Linked DNA regions of Caenorhabditis elegans. The protein of the gene in region 1 interacts with the protein of each later gene in a pairwise test. Each region holds a gene or a part of one and is shown in the gene's direction. Other genes may lie near its edges. The genes, in order: zyx-1, lim-8, scpl-1 and uig-1.

Region 1 (4,847 bases):
AAAATAAGTCGAAAAATACATAGACTCCTCTTTTCAATGTTTGTACACCAACTGTTTTTTGTTTCAATTTTTGTTTCTCACGAATTCCAGCCAAAAGTTTTTTTTCTTAAAATATTTTTTTTCTGTAGAAAAAAAAAAATATTAGGGAATGATCATGATTGCGCCCACGAAACCGCCCATAAAATTCCTGTGAAAAGAGAAGAAGAGAGGGTTGGGCACAACTATACCATCCATAAAACCACAGACTTTTTTTCGCGTCGGTTTTTTTCTTCTTTCCGCTCTTCCAATGTTTTATCGTTGTTTGCATGGCGTTCTGTGCTTCAAAGATGACAGTTTTTTTTGGGGTTGGAAGACTTTTTTGAATACAAAAATTCTTTGAAGTTAAAAACTTCAAAGTTCTCAAAATTTTAATTTTTTAGAATGGTCTAGAATCACATAAATCGAAGTTAATATTGGCTTTAAAATGGGAAAGATCGGCCACAAAACAATTAATTATAAAAAGGATGAAAAGGGGTCTTTTCATTAACTGTAAAAGGCTATTTTAAGATCATCTCTAGCAATAAAGAAAATATATGTTGATGGCCCAGTTTTCCCGTTTTTTTCTAGGCCAAGCCACAAATGACGGACAGTTTTGGGTTAGAAAGATTAAACTTCAATTTTCGTATAAAAAAAGTGCTCCAGAATAAAATTAGGCAAATTTCGGATTTGAAAAAAAAAATTCAAACCGAATGTGATGTCCTAGAACCCGACAAGGCCCACTTGAAAATATGACGTCACAAAAATATTCGTGGCCGAAAAAATAAGAAAACTCGGCTACGCTACAAACATTTTTTTTCTCGAATTGTATGTAGACGACACCTTATAGATTCAATCTGGAAAACTTTTTGAAAAATTTAATTGATGGCCGAGTTATCTGTTTTCTAGGCCACATCACAAATTTGTGCTTGATCTAAATCTGTGCTTTCAAATAGCAATTTAAAAAAAAAATCTGAAATATAAAACGATTAGGTTGAGCCGAAAGTCATGGCCTAGAACCCGAGAAAAATATACGTGGCCGCGAAAATGAGAAAACTCGGCCGCTAACACACATAGGGTAATTTCCTCGAACTCTAAATGATCTATTTAAGATCAAATTGCTAAAATATAAATAATGAGTTTTAGATTTTCTAGGCCACGCTGTGAACTCTAGGTTTTTGTATAATCTCCAACCATAACTTAAATATTGCCGGTCCCTCTCCCCTATAAATTATCAGCCACCAATTTCCTGTCTGCCACGTGGATTTCACACGAAATTTTTGATATCATCTTCCAATAGCAGATGTTGTTGCTTATCTCTTTTCCTCTTTGTTCATCGCTTATCCCTCGTTTTCGCTTTCCTTTTTTTGTAATCTCCCCCCCCCCCCTCCCATATCCTCTCTATTTTTCCTGCCATCAGTCGAATTTTGTGAGCCAAAGTGTAAAATGGGCTCCTGCCGGGATGAAGCGAGAGAGTCGTAAGGATGTGAAGAGACGCCGACGCGGTTCGCCCGGGGTTCCTGTGGCATGCAGCTCCTCGGGGTCCGTCGGAGCCCCCAAGACTCTAAACATACTAAACACCACACCGAGGCGCGCTCTCCAGACATTCTCTATCCATCCAGGTCGCACATCCTAATATGAGTTACCTCTCACCACTTCCTCATTATCCTAGTCAAAGGTATCGTTTTTTTTTCATTTCTTCATGTTTTTGTTGTGTTAAATTGTTTGCTCTGTGTCCTGACCTCCAACATATGTGTCTTTCAGCTTGGGTCGTGCTCGCTCCTTCAGCACTATTCCAGACTCGGCATCCGCTACTGATCTATGGGACCCCCGCCTCCGCCTCCACCACCCCCTCTACTCCCATCCGTAAGTTGAACTGAAATTGCAAAAGAAAATTGGAAAATGTTCTGAAATTTTTTTAGGCCAAAAGTTTGAAAAAAAATCAATGGCGTGGGAGAGAGGTTTAAAAATTATGTATGTTATCCATTACGGTAGCTCGATAAAACCCCCAAAAGCTCAGGGATTGTCAGAATTTCTTATTTCGATTTGATCTTCAAAAAGTGCGGGAGTTGAGACGCAGACATCTCATCTGATTTCGCAGATCTTGCTGACGTCACAATTTTTCTGAAAAAATTCCCGAATTTTTTGTAGATCACAATTTTTCCGAACAAAAAATTCCCGCATTTTTTGTAGATCACAATTTTTCCGAACAAAAAATCCCGCATTTTTTGTAGATCACAATTTTTCCGAACAAAAAATTCCCGCATTTTTTGTAGATCACAATTTTTCCGAACAAAAAATTCCCGCATTTTTGTAGATCAAACTGTAATGAGACATCCTGACATCACGTGGAAATAGACATTTCAAAATTTAAAATCTTGGCTTTTTGGAGGCAGATGGGTTTAATTATCGTTAATTTATTTCTGAACTGCCGGCTCTTAGAGTCGTTCTGAATTCTATTTCACTTCCCACGCTCTAGACAATACCCTTTCTATTAATTCAAAGCACATTTTGCATATGAAGGTAAACGATTTGCATACGGTAATTTATGTGCTCCTTCTAGCACCCCTGGGCATTTAATTATTCTCATTAATCACTTGAAAAACCATAAATTATTGCTAACCATAATCGTAGTGGCAAATTTTTTTTATCCAGCGGAAATGAGGGTTTTTTCGAAAAATAAAGAAAAAAATGACAGAATACATCCCCAATATACCATACATAACAGTAAAAAAAATTATAAAATTTTTGTAAATTTTTTATGATTTTTTTAAAATTTTGCAAAAATAATAAAAAGGGCCGAATGAAATTTAAATTCCCGCGCAACTGAGTGACGTCATTTTCGACATACCGTATATCTTCTATTAATATGGCCTCCCTATTAGACTTGCACTCCCTATTAGTATTGCCCCTCGGAGACCTTCCGAAAATTAGTATTGCACTCCCTATTAGTCTTGCACTCTCTAATAGTCTTGCGTTAACTTTTTTGTATTGCAAACCCGTCTCGCTAATTTCAGGATTTCAACAACATTTTTGCCTATTTTGCAACAGTTTTCACATCATTTCTACGAGATTGAAGTTTTTGAAATTATATGAAAATCAAATTTTCAGAATTTTTACATATGATTCGAGCTTTTTCAGGAAAAAACTAGTAAGCTCAAAGTCAGAAAATGTTCTGAAAATTAGTATTGCACTCCCTAATAGTCTTGCACTCCCTATTAGTATTGCAAGCGGGAAGACCATCGAAAAATAGTATTGCAGCTATATTAATAGAAGAAATACGGTATTTGTGTTTTCCCGCTATATTAGTCTCCATTTTGGCCAATTTCAAAGTTTAATCCAATTTCAGAGTTTTGGCAATTTTCTTTGCAATTATATAGTTTTCTTTACGGAAAAATTTCTGAAAAATTGGAAAATTAAATATGTTTCAAATTATAAAATAAAGAAAAAAAATAAAGAAAAACCCAATTAGTTTGGGCGTGAATGAAAAATTAAAATTTTTTTTAAATTTTAAACAGTTATAATCGGTATATTAGGACAGTATTCTGTCATTTAAAGCAAAAAATCTACCGACCTTTAATTAAAAAAATTGTTTTCCTCAAATTTGGCAGATTTGGTTAGTTTGAAAAATTTTACAACTTTGAGAGCCTATAACTCAGTTGTCGTTTGCTCTACTCAAAAATTGTCAACTGTCAAAATGTTTTTTAGTTCTTTTTCTACATTTTTTAGTTTGACAATTATTGGTATCTTGAAAAAGAACCAAGATATAGCGTTTCAAAGTAATGTAGTCGGGTGAAACTAAAATATGAAATGTGATATGATCTTATATAACTATTTACTTCCAAAAGTAAGAAATTAACTTCTAGGGAGAGATACTACCATCTCGCAAATGGAAGACAGAGGATGCACCACGACGTAACAACCATCCCGCACCTGCGCCGCCCAAGCCGTCCCGTCCCACAGTGGACGCTTCGGCACTACAGCACGCCGCAGCACGTCTGCGTAAGACCGGCTACAACGAACCGGTTCGAGGTGACGTCGAGAATCTATCCGATGGACGATTGGACCGACCGCATCAACAATTGCCTGACGGAGATCGGACGTATCGCGCGAACCTCCAACAATTGGCTCAGCCGAAAACCAGAGCAGAGGTGAGAGGGTTTTTAGAGAGGTTGCAGCCGACAACTCCCGGGCTGATGCGTCATTAAAATTCTGATAATTTTCAGATTCCTTCTCCGCCCACTTATTCCAACCAACCTCGTCCGCTCGGCGACTTTCATCGAGACCCCAATGCGTTAAGCCAATTCCAGGTACTACATTCCATCGGTCCTCATAAAAAAATCAAAAACTTTCCAGCAATCCCGAGAGGCTCTTCTATCAAGTACTTCCCCAACTTCAAACTATAGCCCAATCAATAAATTCTCATCATCCACTCTAACTCAATACGCAAACAAGTCCCCGTCGCCTCCATCATTTGGTAATAGTAATAGTGAGGCAACTTATGTGTCTCCATATTCTTCTAAACACTCATATCCTACAAACTTCCGAAGCTATCACAAGGACGACGATTATTTTAATAACACGGCAACTACGGCAACCACCACAACATCAAGCAATAGCTTAAACGAGAACAATAATTCGAATAAATATGGCAATAAGGAGACGGTTCTTCAGTGGTCGGAGCCCTACGATCCAAGGTAATTATTTTTTAGTTGTTGGAAAATTAACACTTTATGGTTAGCGCCCGACATTTTATGTATAGCGGCCGACACCTCATAGGTACCAGCCGACACCTCACAGGTATTTGGCCAAGAGGCTGACATTTAACGGGT
Region 2 (4,821 bases), on another chromosome or scaffold:
CCGGGAGATTTCCGTGGCGCAGAAATAATTGGCAGATCGTTATTCCGCCAATGCAAATGACTGTATTATGGATTCTTGTGGATGCAGGAGTGTCTTCTTCACCTTCTCCCAGGACACAGCAGGACACCTGTTTCGGGCAATCAACACCGACCTGGTCGCCATTTGCATAATGTGTTTTCTTGAGGAGAAGAAAAAGAAAAAGGAAAAGAGTAAGAAGGATGGATACCTAGTTGTCGGAACGAAGACATATGCGTGTCGTTATGAAGAAACCACAGTTGAAAAAGAATGAAGGATTAGACGTCTGACGACGACACCGTTCCGCCACCTTGTTTCTTCTTCTGATCCTTCGTGTAATATTACTGCATTTTTGGCTTTTTCCTATTCTTTTGCGTTCATTTTTCTCATTTACATATCTACATGTCAAAGTGAAAAAAAAAGCTATTCCCTACAGTAATCGTACGTTCTGATAGGTCATTGGAGAATATGTTCCAGGAGTTCTAATCATAAAACAATTGTTCGTTGGGTTCAATACTTCAAAAACATCAATCAAATCAGGCGCTATTTTAACAAGTTCAGATCTAGACACGTTTCAGTATACTTCTCTTAAAACTAAAAAACTTTGTTTTCATTCCACAAATGTCCATCCTTGCCTACCAAATTGAAGTCAATCTACCATATTAAAATAATTTAAAAACATGAATTTATTGGGCCACTGCAGAAATGTAATCCATTAATGGGTCTACCCTACATTCTACCATGTTGTTTCTTTTTAGAGAGGAATTTTTAAGATGGAAATATTATGAGAATCAACTATTTTTGGAGATGAACTGCTTGTTTTTCATTATTTCAGAATTCATGGCTTCTTATGGCGCTGTGATACTGTTGTTATATAATTATATTCGGTTTTTTTTATTCTCAATGTCTTCTATTTCCCTTTAAAAGCTTCTCCGAACTTCAGATTTATATTCTTTGCCCTTATTTCCCTGTCCAAGTTTCAATTTCCCTGGCTTCTGCCGCTTTTAGACTATCTCCAAATCACCACCATCTGATAACTGATCCATAATATCTTTTGACCGACATTCCTTTTCATCTCTTCAATATTACCGACTTTTGTGTATATTTTATGATAGAGCGTACGAGACGAAGAGACGCAGACATTAATTTTATGCTTTTCTTGTGGATACGCAGAAATAAGAAGAAATAAATTTGAATATTGTTCCGAAAGGATCTGACCACTTTCTCTTCAGATTCACTCTCGTTCTCTGATTATCAAATTATCGTGTCAAATTCATTTCAATTCTGGTTTCTCCCGAAATTTTCAAAACCGATTTTATTGAATTTTATTTTCCTTAATTTATGCTTTCCGTAGTGACATTAATTTGAGAATTTTTGGATGTGGATTTCTTTACCGCTTTTGAACATACTTTTTTACAGTTTGTTTTAATTCTCGGTACCTTTTTTATTAATTGAACATTTGGATAACAAAGTTATGGACCATTGTAATAGGTTCCGTTCTTCTCAAAATCTCAAGTCTTGGTGTCAATTTTCTGTAAATGTGTGGTCGATTTCTATTTTTCTTCCTCTCTGAAGAAATGTAAACTGTCATCAAATTTCCCACAAGTTAAACGCTATTTCTGTTTGCTCAGAGGTCTTTTTCTATTTTTGTTACTCGTGTTTGTGTTCTATTTGAATTTCAGATAATCTATTTTGATTCTCTGGAAAAAACATTGATTACTTTTTTTGATGTTCTTCTTGTAACTTGACTTTTTTATTGTTTCATTTCAATTATTTGCAGAAAGTCGTAAAGATGATGGAGAATGATTACGCAGTGAAGGTACTTTCAAAGTGTTTGAATTTTTCATTGTATATTTATTAACATTTTGTGGCTAATTCATTTTCAAAATAGTTCAACGTATTCCTGTGTTTTCTAGTTATTCTAGCTTTGCATTTTTGCTGGGCAAAAGTTTGTAAAAAACAGTTAAAGCTCTGAAAACATTTTTTAGTACAGAAAAGTTAATTAAAACTCACTGTTAGATTGAGAAGGGGTTATTGGAAAATTATTTTGGAAATTAACATATTTTATTTGGCACACTGAAAAAAAATAAAAATTTAGAAATTATAAAAAGGAAGAATCAAAACTGTCCAATGTCCCATATCATCCTAGTTTTCTTGCACGCAAACCAAAACCTCAAAAATGCCCAAGAATGTTGGGCATATTAATATTTACATTTCAAGAGGGCTCACATACTCACCCCTTTTAACACACAGTCTTCACACAAAAACTAACTGATAACAGGAGACTTTTTTGTGTTTGATTGGTATTATGATCGATTTTTATCATAAATGATATGTTAAAGTGTTCCTTTTCTGTGATATGATTCATTTCTGAAATGAGTAGGATGGAAGAGAAATGAATAAAAAAGTTGAAATTTTTGAATCAAAAGTTGCGTTTATAATCAAACTACGTTCCTTTTTCAGTTAAGCATTTAGTTATTTTAAAGTTTATCATCATTTTTTAATCAAGATGATGATAACATAATACTCGTAAAACATGTTTTAAAGTTTTATCTTTTAAGTTGTAAAAAATACGTTATTAATCGCCCACTTTCACCTCTAATACTCGAAAATGATATTTTAAGTGATTAACTTCATTATGTACTTTATCGTGTTTACCTAACTTATGTCTGCCACAATAACCTTGTCGTTTCTACTTACTTTTTGTATTTATTTTTCATAAATTCAGAATAATTTCAATACATTTTTCAGGTGGCCAAGTATCCACCAAATCTTGGATCTGATTATCCTGAAGACGAATTTGGGTGAGTTTTACTTTCACCACAATAATTTTTTTGTCATTTATGATCATGTAAATCGTTCATTTAATTATGAGTGACAAGATTAATTAGGTGAATTATTTGAATTTTCAATGTCATTATAAAAGTTCTAAGGGTAGATGTAATATAAGAAAGCGGCAAAGTATGCAAATAGGTTTTAATATTCTGAAAATCAGGTTTCTTAGTCTGTTTTTTTCTCATTCTCTTTGAGATTCTTTTTCATTAACCATAGCATATTCCTCAAAATTTCTGTATTGTAGCGTTAACTACCCATTTCAATTAAGAAATTCAACAAAAGCTTTGCAGTAACAACGCATATAGGCAAAATAGGACATTTCTCCGTGGCTGGGCTGGGCCTACTACATTGAAACGTTAAAAATATATTTTGGATCATGTTCAGACATTTATAATTTAAGTTTTTATTCGAAAAAACAGTATCAAGATTCTTTGAAACGGATTTTATTTTTATTAAAACAAAAACAATAGTCATATATTCTAGACCAGTTCATTTGGGCGTGGACTTCCTTTGCAGTTTTACAAAAAATCTTTTCTTATATATTCACTAGAAAATGTTCTAGTTAGACTGTTCATTTTTCATTCCTTTTGTCTTTGAGCGTTTGCCGGTACGTGTAAACCGTTAGCCTTTCCAAAAAACCAAGCGTCGGAGCAAAAAAGGAGGGTACTCAAAGCTCTCTGTACTTACCATGCAAGCGCGAAAATTGGCGATTACGCACTCTCTTGATATTGTAGCATATTCTCAGTCTCTTCATTATTTTCTTATGTCTCGGAAAAAGAACGTAGTGACCATCTCTAACTGTGTCTCGTTTCGCCAATGGAGAGAAAATAAACAAATGAATGAGAGCATGTGAGCCGCCAATAAATGACCGGATATATGAGAGTGAGAGAAGATATTCGGCATGATTTTTGAGTCAAGGGCACTGTTACGGTTTTTCTTTTTGTTGATCAACCCTTTTTTAGTCTTATGAACTCTTTGAGCAAGTTTCTACAAGTTTCTACTTTTTCTGTATATTTCAGTCTCAATGTGGAAATGATGTTTCACAGCAACCCAACAGTTCCCAGGTTCCTCTACTAGATTAATTTAACTGTGTTTTCGATGAAAAATAACATAACCCAGTAGATATCGGATACTGCGAAAATTACCATGTGTCTTAAAATAAGTTTTACCGGGTTCCGGTAGTAGCTGCTCTCAACTCTCTGAACACTTCTCCCTGAGACGCTATCTATAGATCGCGAAACTATTTTTAAGACTGAATTACCTATTGAACTTTACGATAGTTTTCCAAAATGTACTATGTTTTTTTTTAATAAGCTCACAGTTATCCCGAATTCTATTCTCTCTGATAACTTTATATTCCTCTTGAAACCCAGATTTTCTTCACCGCAAAAGGTTTCTGGTCTCTGAAATTAGCTATTGGTAAGGCAAAAGGGACGCGAAAGCTGGAAAGAAACATCAATTACCAAAAGAGACACTTGTTTTTCGCTTTTTTCTGTGTTTTGACTTCTGACGCCTTCACATCAGATGTCCCATGTCAGAAGCTTTTCCTTTCATTTTTCTTAAAATTTATTCGATTTCTAAAAAATAATCTAGCGTTTAGGTTTGAAGTTAATAGCGGTCTCTCTCATTGTAAACTCGATCAGTGTATTAACTATTGCACATACCCTATCTGCGTCTCTATTCTAACTACAGCGAATATAGGCCTCTTTGACCTGAACTTTCCGTGCTTCCGTGGCGCAATAGGCAGCGCGTTCGGCTGTTAACCGAAAGGTTGGTGGTTCGAGCCCACCCGGGAGCGAAACTTTTTGGCTTCATAAAATTATATTTTCTTAGTAAATGAAATTTGCAGACCCGGAGCAAAAATGCTACGAGGACCGGGACAGAAATCCTCGGATCCTTTCCAATTCGTCGCCGTCAACAAAGGCGGCGACGAAATGGCTGAATCTGCGAAAAGCACACTACAAATGGCTC
Region 3 (4,828 bases), on another chromosome or scaffold:
TGTTTTCTGTGCCTTCCCGCCGAACATACAGCAATTAGGGAAATTACATTGTCGAGCATGAAAGTTCTTTCATTTTTTCGCCCAATTTCTTATACATTCACTAGAGTTTCTTTCTTTTTTTGGAATAAAAAGTGTTTGTTGTTTTGCGGCGGCCACCAGACACGTTCAAAACAACAAATCTTGTGAGTTTTATTGCTTTTTGAATTTCTTTTAAGACGTTTCTGAGCAGATTTTGGATGTTTTTCGAAGGGAAATAGAATATGGAAAAATATTTAAATATCTAATTTTAAAGTACACACGAGGCACAATATTCTGAATTCTATTACCGTTAATCCGTTTCAAAAGGTTTCCTTGGTAACCGAGAGAAGCGATGTAATTCTTGTGAAAAACAATGGCATAGCTTTTTAGACCATAAGGTATTTTTGAATATTTTTCTGGAGACCCTTGACCTCTCTAAATATTTATTTTCCCATTTCCTGCTCCATCATGAATCGAGTCCATCAAAGGAAAAGCCATTTGAAGCGTGAAGAAAGTCGCCGTGAGAGCGACCTTGTTGAGTGACGCCTGCTCCTTTCTTTTGCTCCACGACATTTCCTTTCATCGTGGTCCTTATTTCTTTCTAAAAGCGTGTATATAAACTCTTATTATGATGATTGACGTCCACCTCATGCACCCGAATCTATTTTTATGTTCAGTAGCAGCTCTTTTGAGCTCTCTGGGCGTTGCTTTTCAAAAGCTCAACGTGATTGGCACATTGCCAACATGTGAGACCTGCCGCCGACTTCCGCGCCCTTCATGATCCGCCACTAATCGGTGAGCAAGTACTCGTTGAAGTGAGCAGCAAGTTTATATTACTTATGGTATATACACACACGTCGCGCCTTTACCCTCACGCGGCATACGGCATACGGCAATGCTTATTTGTTCTTTGTCAAGCACTTCTTTTGCACATTTTGGCAGCAGCGCGCACGGAAGGCGCCGCGTTCTTTGCAATAACCAGACTGTGCTCTGGGAGCAGCAGATGATTTAGGGGAAAGATACGAGAAAAGAGAAACAGAAAGAGAGTAGTTTGCGTGCTCATTTCAACAAGCACTTCACCTCTGCCCTCGGGATACCTCAGATAATTTGTGTTTCTGAAGAAGCTAGTTCTTCTTTTTCTTCTTCTTTGTTCTCTGCTCTTTTCACCTCTGAAACCCCTTGAATGTCAATGTTTCTAAAACCATTGAAATTAGATATGTTTGGGTTTTGCCCCGTTTATGCGTTGAAACGAACAAACATTCTATGTATCTTATGTGAGACAAGAAAACAGATTTAGTTCTCTCCAGAGACTCTCCCATCAAAACACACACCTGTCTGTTTTTTTTATTAGCCAACCACTTCCCCATAAATTCTTGCCATGGACTTTTCAACAATAACAAAATTGTTTCCTCATATTTTTATTATTTTTTCTTTCTCTCAATATGTCTAGAGTTTGGGCGGCAATTCTATTATTCGGAAATGAATAAAATTTTGAAAATTTGAAATTTGACAATAGTTATCGGAAAAAAGTTCCGATTACCAGAGATCAAAATCCTCATATTTTTAATAAGTTTTGATCATTAATTTTTTTGAATCATTTTTCTAAAAAATTCGAATTGTCGATTATCGAATTGATTTAAAAAAAACGATTTCCGCCCACTTCGTAATGTTTCAAATATTCTACTTCTTCAATTTTCTTATTAATCTCTATTTCTCTTCGAACATCAAACTTATCATATTCCAAAACCCCATTTCCTTATTTCAAGAAATATCTCGTCGATCCTCCATCATCCACCTTCTTCCCCAGTCATCATAATCATCGGATGACCTACGCTGAATCGACTCGATCCGCCGTCGTCTACTCGTCGATTGTGCCTCCACCACGTACTCCAGTTGGTCCGCCGATGTTGAAAGATGGCGTGCGGAAAGGATCCGCATCGCAACCACTTCAACCAAAAAACGGTGCCAACAGTTTGGACTATTGGAGTAAATCGGAAGATGAAAAGTCTGGAATAACGTGTTACTACAGTCGTCATAATATTCAATTTCCACCACCACAGAGGAAAATGAAACCTGTAAAACCAAATCCTGTGGGAAGGTCAACAATAAATGGATTCACACCATCGACATCATCACCACAAAATGGTCTTAGATATCCACCATTTCCACAGAATACACCAGAATCTGTGATGAGTCCTCCAGTTGGAATCTACCGTAATATTCCCGCAATGCCACGTGCAAAACTTACAAAAGATGAGAAAAATGGAGGGAAAATGAATCGAGATGGTGGAGGAGAAAACCCAAAAAATGTAGTTTGGGGTGGAACATCAAGAAAAGATGATGATACGGCTAGTACACCGTTAAATTCATTTTCAGCCAATGGTGAGATAACCGGGAATGTGAAAAGTTAATTTAAAAATAAACTGAATTGTTTTTTTTTTTGTAATTAATATTTTGTATCAGTTTCAGCATCAATCGAGAAAAAGCGATCAACAGCGAGAAGGAAACCAAGATGGGCACGCTGTTTTCAGACACTTTTCTGTTGTGTGACTCCACCCAGAGAGATTGGTATGTGATTTTTCATTTTAAAATTATCAAAATTCTTTTAAAAATTTGGGGTTATTTAAGTTATGTAGAATGCTCCAAGAGTTCACTAAAAAAAATTTAATTAAAAAAATGAATTTTCAATTTCTGAAGAGAAAATGGATGTAGTCTGAAATGATCCAATTTGACTACAAAAATTTATCTTTTTTCGGGAGTTTTCCTTCAATTTTGCAAATTTTTTTTCAAATTTCTGAATTATTTGTTAAATTGCCACCAAAAACGGTTACTGTAACTCAATAAATTTTTTTAAATAACATTATTTGTAAAAAAAATTTCCTGGAATTTCTGTATGCTTTTCACACTTTCCTATAACAAAATAGACTGAAAAAATTTTAAAAAATTGTTTTGTTTATTTTAAGCGACAAATTTTTGAAATTCCAGAAAAATTTAATATAAAGACATGTTAAAAATTTTTTTTTGAAAATTTCCACAAGAAAAAGCTAAAGAAAAAAAGGAAATTTGGTCTTGTTACAGTAACCAGTTTGTGCGAAAATTTGAAAGTTTTGCAAAAAAAAAGACAAAATTTTAAACACTTTATAGGCATATTCGATAATTTTAGACTATCTTCTATTATTTAACAATTGAAAAATGTTCTTAATCATAGAAAAGTTCAAAATTTCGAGTAATTAATAACGCCGCTTTTATGTTTTCTAGAAAACGAAATGAGTGTTTTCATCTTCATTTTTTCTTTATTTCTCTTTCTCTTCAGTGGTAGTGTTCCAGTTATTACACCAAATCTTCCATCTCTTTCATTTTTATCCATCAAAAACTTCAATCATCAGTCGGAAACCACCCCACGCTTCTGATTTCCCATTCTTGTGTGCATTTCAATATTTCAAAAAAAAAACTCATAATTTCTCCTTTACCCCGAAATTCGCCAATATTTTCCGATTTACGAACGCGGCTATCAAACTTGTCGATAGACAGCAAAGTGAGTTGAACTTTTGCGAAAAAGGAAAAAAAGGCGAGGGCAGCTGGTTTTGATTTATTTGCAAATAATCTCCCCTCAGGCAATGTGTCATGCATAAATACGCAGCTCACGGTCGGAGGGAGTACCGCAACTTTTTGAACTTTCAATGTTTGCATATGAGAAATGAAGGAAAAAAATCTCGTTTAACATTTTAAAAGTAGCATTAAAAATTAGTATTAGGGATTTTGAAATACCAAAAACGGCTTTAAATTATCCAAGATATTCAGAAATTCAGAAATACCAAAAGAACAAATTTAGAACTTTCAAAAATAACGCATATAACGATAGAAAAATGTATTGATTTGTTAATGATTATTTAAAATTGTTTGTTTGGAAAGTTTCTCAGCGATTTTCTTTCTTCCGATTACTAGGTTTTCTTTACAGAAGAATTCCTGAAAAATGTCACTCGTTTGCGCGGGAATTTAAATTGAATTCTGCCGTATTTTTCATTTTTGCAAAATAGGAACAATCATTTCAAAAACAATACTTTGGAACTCTTCCCAGACAGAATCTGTCCTTGTCAAATCATCGATGTCAAAATTGACAACTTTGAAACAAAGAATATTATTTTCCCAGACATTTTCTTCCTCGCTGCTCATCAGAAAATATCATCATTTTCTTTCTTATCTCGAATTTCAACGAAAAAAGATGATCAGAACCCCCGCACAGTTGGATTTTCGGATCCTTTCGAAACATCTGGTGCCACTCGATTCCTGGCACAACGCCTTTCACAAAGAACTATGATTTATGAACATGAACTTTTTTTTAAAGTTTTGTGGGTGTAGAGATAAATAAAATTTAATGATTTTCCGATGAGCATGCATGAGGCAACTGCTCAGTGATCAGATATCACAAAAAATCATCTTAAGGGTGGAATACCGAAATCTGGGAATTATTTTTAATTGACTCCAAATTGCCCCTGAATAACGAATGTGTGAAAAAATTCAAAAAAATTATCTGATGTTATATTTGATTTATATTTTTTTCACATAAATATTCGGAATCAGGGGCAAATTTTGAGTCAATTAAAAATATTTCTTAGATTTCAGTACTCCACCTTTAACAACAATTACCGTAACCAAATTTCGGCAATTGAATGAAATTCTAACAAAATTGGAGAAAATATTCATAAATTTTCAGAAAAGATACAATCAAGCCAACGAACGAACAGTACAAACAACAATCATCAGAATGGAAGACCATCTACACCAACAAATACAGGACCACCCATTCAGC
Region 4 (4,565 bases), on another chromosome or scaffold:
CACATAAAATAATAGGGAACTGCTATTTGAAAGACTTTTTGGTTTTTGATTTCATATTGCCTAAATGGCTTCGAGGCTAGTGATTTTTGGCGAAATAAAAACCTAATTTTTTTAAATCGTGAGCTCTTTTTGTTTCAACTTTGCAAAAAGTTGGCAATCCCGAAACTAAATTATTTTAAATGGTGAACATGCTACATAATTTTACTACTTTTCTAAAAAAATATATCATTGGTATTCCCCACAAAATTATTTTTTATTGCGTTCATCTATTCAAAAATGGTACTTCTAAAAAAAGGGTTTAACATCAGCCCAAAAAACGTAAAATAAGCTGATAAGCATTATTGACACTTTCCAGCATTGCCCTCATTCATGAACTCTGTCCGTAAGAGTTGTTCATCTATTTGCACATTTCTTATTCAGAATATAGAACTAGTGAATCTTTCCGATAATCCTCCAACCACTTATAAACTGAACCGAAACCGAAACAAGGCAATAAACATTTGGTGAAGATGAGCTTGTTCTTCTTTATTCTGTGGAGACCGTTTAGAGGTGGATAGCTTTTTTTCTAAGAATACAGTTGTTAAAAAACTAGTTTTATAACTTTTGATACAATTATTTTCAATTTTTTAAATAAGGTTTCTACCGTTTTTCTTCTATTACTATTATGCCTATAATACCTTTAAAAAAATAGCTACTTACCTATTTTGAACGGAGGTTTTTTTGTTATTATTATTCTTGTTCGATGATTCCAGTTAATTCATGAAAAGCCAAGAAATTGAATTTTTGGAATTGATAAACTACTAATTTCAGATGAGCAACCAAAAATTTTAAATGCATTGGTCTAGCAATAACGACGGTCTTTGAAAATTATCTTACTATTAGCAATCATATTAATAAAGGAATTGCGGTAATTCAAAAGGGAGCATCTTCCTCCGATTGCTCTTTGGCAACACAGTTTACCTCTCTCGTTTGGTATTAAAACTCCGCACGGGCCGTATTAGGAGTGTAAATACGGGACCAAGTAGTGTGACGAACCCTGCGCACAAGTATCAAGTTGACTCTTCTTTCTTACATTCCTACATTACCACCACCACCACTTTCAATCTTCCGTTTGGTATTCACTGACTTCAACATCTTCTTATTGTGCCAATTTATTTGTTCCTTCGCGTGGTTCAGAAGGTTTCTGAACGCTAGAGCGACGTTTCTTCGGTCAATCCCCCTATAATTACTTGTATTTCCGATGCGATCATATTCCCACAATTTTCTGAATTTCCCATGTTTCATCGGCTTTGAATAGAAACCGAATAGAATTTGACCAGAAAACAAGACGCAAAAAAGTGGAACATTAATGCTATAATTTGATGAAAAACCTTGCTTGTGGAACTTTGTTTCAAGTTTTTACCCTAGGTATCCATTTCTTCGGTTTCAAGTCCAGTTAATAGGATTAAAGCAAGAAATCAAAAGATTTATTTTGAAACTGCCAACTTCCTTTACCGTTCAATCTTTCAATTTTCTTTCGTTTCTTTTACCGATTTAAATCTTACTCTCTCTGAAGGTGCAATGTCGATTGGATTTTCCTGGTTCCGCAGGAGATTCAGCTACTACGAAGATAAGCAACAGTTCTCTGAATGTGCAAATGACGATGAGCCGACTGTTCAATTACAAGGTGTGATTTTTTTTTAACGTAAAATAGTTTTTTATTGTGATTCGATTTTTTTCATATTTGTCAAACTCTCTTTTGTTTTCAATATGTAGTATTCAATTAGAAAAGCAAGCTAAATTTTTTTAAAATGGCTAAAGTTTATCAGATATTAATAATTTCTACTCTCAAAAAACTTAAAAAAAACATTCCCCTAAACTCGACATTTTGAATAAAATTTCGAAAAAAATCCATATAGGAATAAAAATTACTGCCTTCGTGCCTACCAGCTATTTCAAACTTACATACATTGAAGAATAAATACCCAATCCTTGTAAATTTGACCTCAAATGTGACGTAGCTGAGCTTCTGTCTGTTCCATGTTTTGATTCGTAGGGGAGTCGATATTCAACGGGTCATGAAAAATTATAAATTTTATTTTATTTTTCATAACATTTTTATGTTTCAGATTTTATCTAGGTAAATTTAGGAAGAACATATCGTACTGAGTAAACCATTTGAATATTTTCATGAGCATGTTTTGAAGTTTTTCAAACGAAATGCAAAAATCACCTGCAAAACTTTTACCAACTCTTTTCCCATTTTCCAAGATCTTCCGAACTTTGAGACCCACTCATTTAAAGTCCTCACCAAACATCGGTATTACAAGACCAATTTTCGCATCTCCCGATTAAAACTTTAGAAATACATACAAAAAAAGAAACTTTCAATTTCCAAGTCCGATCATCAAGGCACATATTGTTTTGTTTGTTTTACATCCTCTTAACCTGGCTCTCGTGTAACGTGTCGATGTTTACTACAGTTTCCTTTTTTTCTTTAGTTGAGATGACACACATCGAATCATTTGCTTTTCTGATTTTCACCTCTTTTTGATCGAACCATCGCAGTTTTTATTTTATTTTTTGCCCTCTCTCAATTATTATTTACTAAAGAGAAATTGGAACGTGAGATTGTTTAGAAAAAAAAACTGTTTGATTTTATTGAGAAGCTTGTTTGATATGTTGGAAGGAACCTCAAGTGTTCATAAGATTTAGTAGTTGATGAGAACTTGAGGAAATGAGATATATAGAGAGAAGGTGGAGGAAAAGTTTACAAATTATCATTTTGTACGTGTTCGTGTTGTTACAATTCAATTTCATTTCTCATAATCATATCCTTCTCGCTTGTTGCAAAATCCGCATGACCTAATACTAAATCCAATTTTAGGAAACATAACCTCATCCTTTGTTTAGTTTTCTCTTCCTTCCTAAATGTCAATATTTTATTCACAACCTAGCGATTTTGTTTAGCAAGGCATTTTGGGAGCTTGGAAAATTTAGTTTCTCTAAATTCTACAGTCCTCCAACATTCATGTTAATAGTCTTAATTTAACAAAACACTATATCCCAAATTTTATTGTTACACTCATTTAAGTTTTTTTTTCCCATTTTATAAATTTTTTCATTCCATTTTTTCTGAAAACATACAAAATCTAAACAATTATTTATTTCAATTTAGTCAAGTCATCATTTAAACCTACATATACATTTAACTCGAAATTCCAAAATTTCCGAATTTATATAATAAATCCAAATAGTTCACATCATCATAATAATTCAACAAAAGTTGACCTCAAACGCCACCCATGCGCATTTTCATGGATGCCATGCGTATGGTTATTATTATTATGATTTTTATTATGTCCATCATCACACTCCGAAACTCTTTTGATGCCCTTCCGCAGATTCACGCGCCTATTTAAATGTTGACGCGGCAACGGTTTTATTATTGTTTCGATTAGGAAAATTCTTATGTAATCAGCCGATTGCGTAGAATATGAACATTTTGCATTGCATTGTTTTTGTTTGGTTTCAAGAATTTTCTGAAGCATAGGTTACATCATCGTGTAATTAGTTGAAATTCAAAATACAAGGTTTTCCATCACCAAATTTTGAAGACAAAAAGTGCACCACAAAATAATTCTGCCAGATCATAGTCAGTAGCTATAGTTTATAAATTGTAAATTCCATAAAAAATTGACCCAAAGTTACATTTTCTTCATTGTATAGACGAAAAACAAGTGTAAATGAGTTCGTAATCTAAACAAATTGAGTGTAGCAAAGTACTTGGACAACGACTACAACCTCCCATCCAGAAAATGTCATTTGTCAGTTTTCGATGGCATCTTTCCCCCCCCCTCCATTTTCCTTCTTCTCTCAGAATCCTAGAATACCCATCAATGTCTTTTAGTCAAGATATTTCTCGGCCCATTTTCTTGAATGGAATCATGCCGCATTTTCTCAATGCTTTTTTGTTCGTCCTTTCCCTCCCTTCATTCAATGCTCAAAGTGTCAAATATTAGAAGCCACAATTACACCACAATGTGTGTGCGCGGAAAAGTGTGGAGGAGAACATCTGCGACTAATGTTATTCAATAATCTCTCTTCTAATACAAAATATTTGAATATTTGTTATCTGCTGGGTGGCAATGGCGGCGGCTCCGGTGAAAAGCCGGCACTCGAGAATTGTTTGGAGATAAACGATATTCACATTTTCAAAAAATAATTGTTGATTATATTTGATTTCGAATTCAAACCTGCCACTTCAATTCTGTTGCTCCTTGAATCTTTTTCAAGCCAAAAATTTCAATTTGTACATCACCAAATGTTTGATAACACCAAAGACATCCAAGTTGTTAATAACTGAACTTTGTTATTTTGCACAAAATTTCAGAAGAAATATTTTGATTATTTTTTGATACTTTTTGAAGTGCTAGAATCAACATTGAATTTGAGCTAGACAAATGACCAAACCATCAAATCTCTTAGAAAATAAAAAAGTGAAGTCGTATTGACCATATAAACAGTGAACTTATTATTGCTTTGCACGACATTTAAGCACAAATATTTTTGAAATTATATTGTTG

What was found.
Region 2: the proteins of zyx-1 (region 1) and lim-8 interact in a two-hybrid assay, tested with the Caenorhabditis elegans proteins (one study listed by BioGRID).
Region 3: the proteins of zyx-1 (region 1) and scpl-1 interact in a two-hybrid assay, tested with the Caenorhabditis elegans proteins (one study listed by BioGRID).
Region 4: the proteins of zyx-1 (region 1) and uig-1 interact in a two-hybrid assay, tested with the Caenorhabditis elegans proteins (one study listed by BioGRID).

Annotation. Positions count from the first base shown.
Region 1 is NC_003280.10:13,055,316-13,060,162, forward strand, and holds the start of zyx-1 (Zyxin), read left to right. Parts: upstream 1-1,836; coding exon 1,837-1,881; intron 1,882-3,483; exon of another isoform or gene 3,484-3,504; intron 3,505-3,881; coding exon 3,882-4,166; intron 4,167-4,241; coding exon 4,242-4,325; intron 4,326-4,371; coding exon 4,372-4,712; intron 4,713-4,741; exon of another isoform or gene 4,742-4,847. Other genes in the region: azyx-1 (Alternative N-terminal open reading frame of ZYX-1), read left to right, coding at 1,653-1,693, 1,780-1,881, 3,882-4,166, 4,242-4,314. UniProt on the Caenorhabditis elegans protein: Functions both as a mechanical stabilizer (via LIM domains) of focal adhesions, and as a sensor component for muscle cell damage (via N-terminus).
Region 2 is NC_003281.10:6,800,993-6,805,813, forward strand, and holds the start of lim-8 (PDZ domain-containing protein), read left to right. Parts: upstream 1-1,795; 5' UTR 1,796-1,810; coding exon 1,811-1,834; intron 1,835-2,766; coding exon 2,767-2,819; intron 2,820-4,236; exon of another isoform or gene 4,237-4,441; intron 4,442-4,575; exon of another isoform or gene 4,576-4,648; intron 4,649-4,669; exon of another isoform or gene 4,670-4,699; coding exon 4,700-4,821.
Region 3 is NC_003279.8:10,091,437-10,096,264, reverse strand, and holds the start of scpl-1 (CTD small phosphatase-like protein 1), read left to right. Parts: upstream 1-1,784; 5' UTR 1,785-1,841; coding exon 1,842-2,400; intron 2,401-2,487; coding exon 2,488-2,586; intron 2,587-3,486; exon of another isoform or gene 3,487-3,603; intron 3,604-4,732; coding exon 4,733-4,828. UniProt on the Caenorhabditis elegans protein: Phosphatase which may play a role in the egg laying muscles.
Region 4 is NC_003283.11:13,289,388-13,293,952, reverse strand, and holds the start of uig-1 (Protein vav), read left to right. Parts: upstream 1-1,560; coding exon 1,561-1,666; intron 1,667-3,236; exon of another isoform or gene 3,237-3,386; intron 3,387-4,565.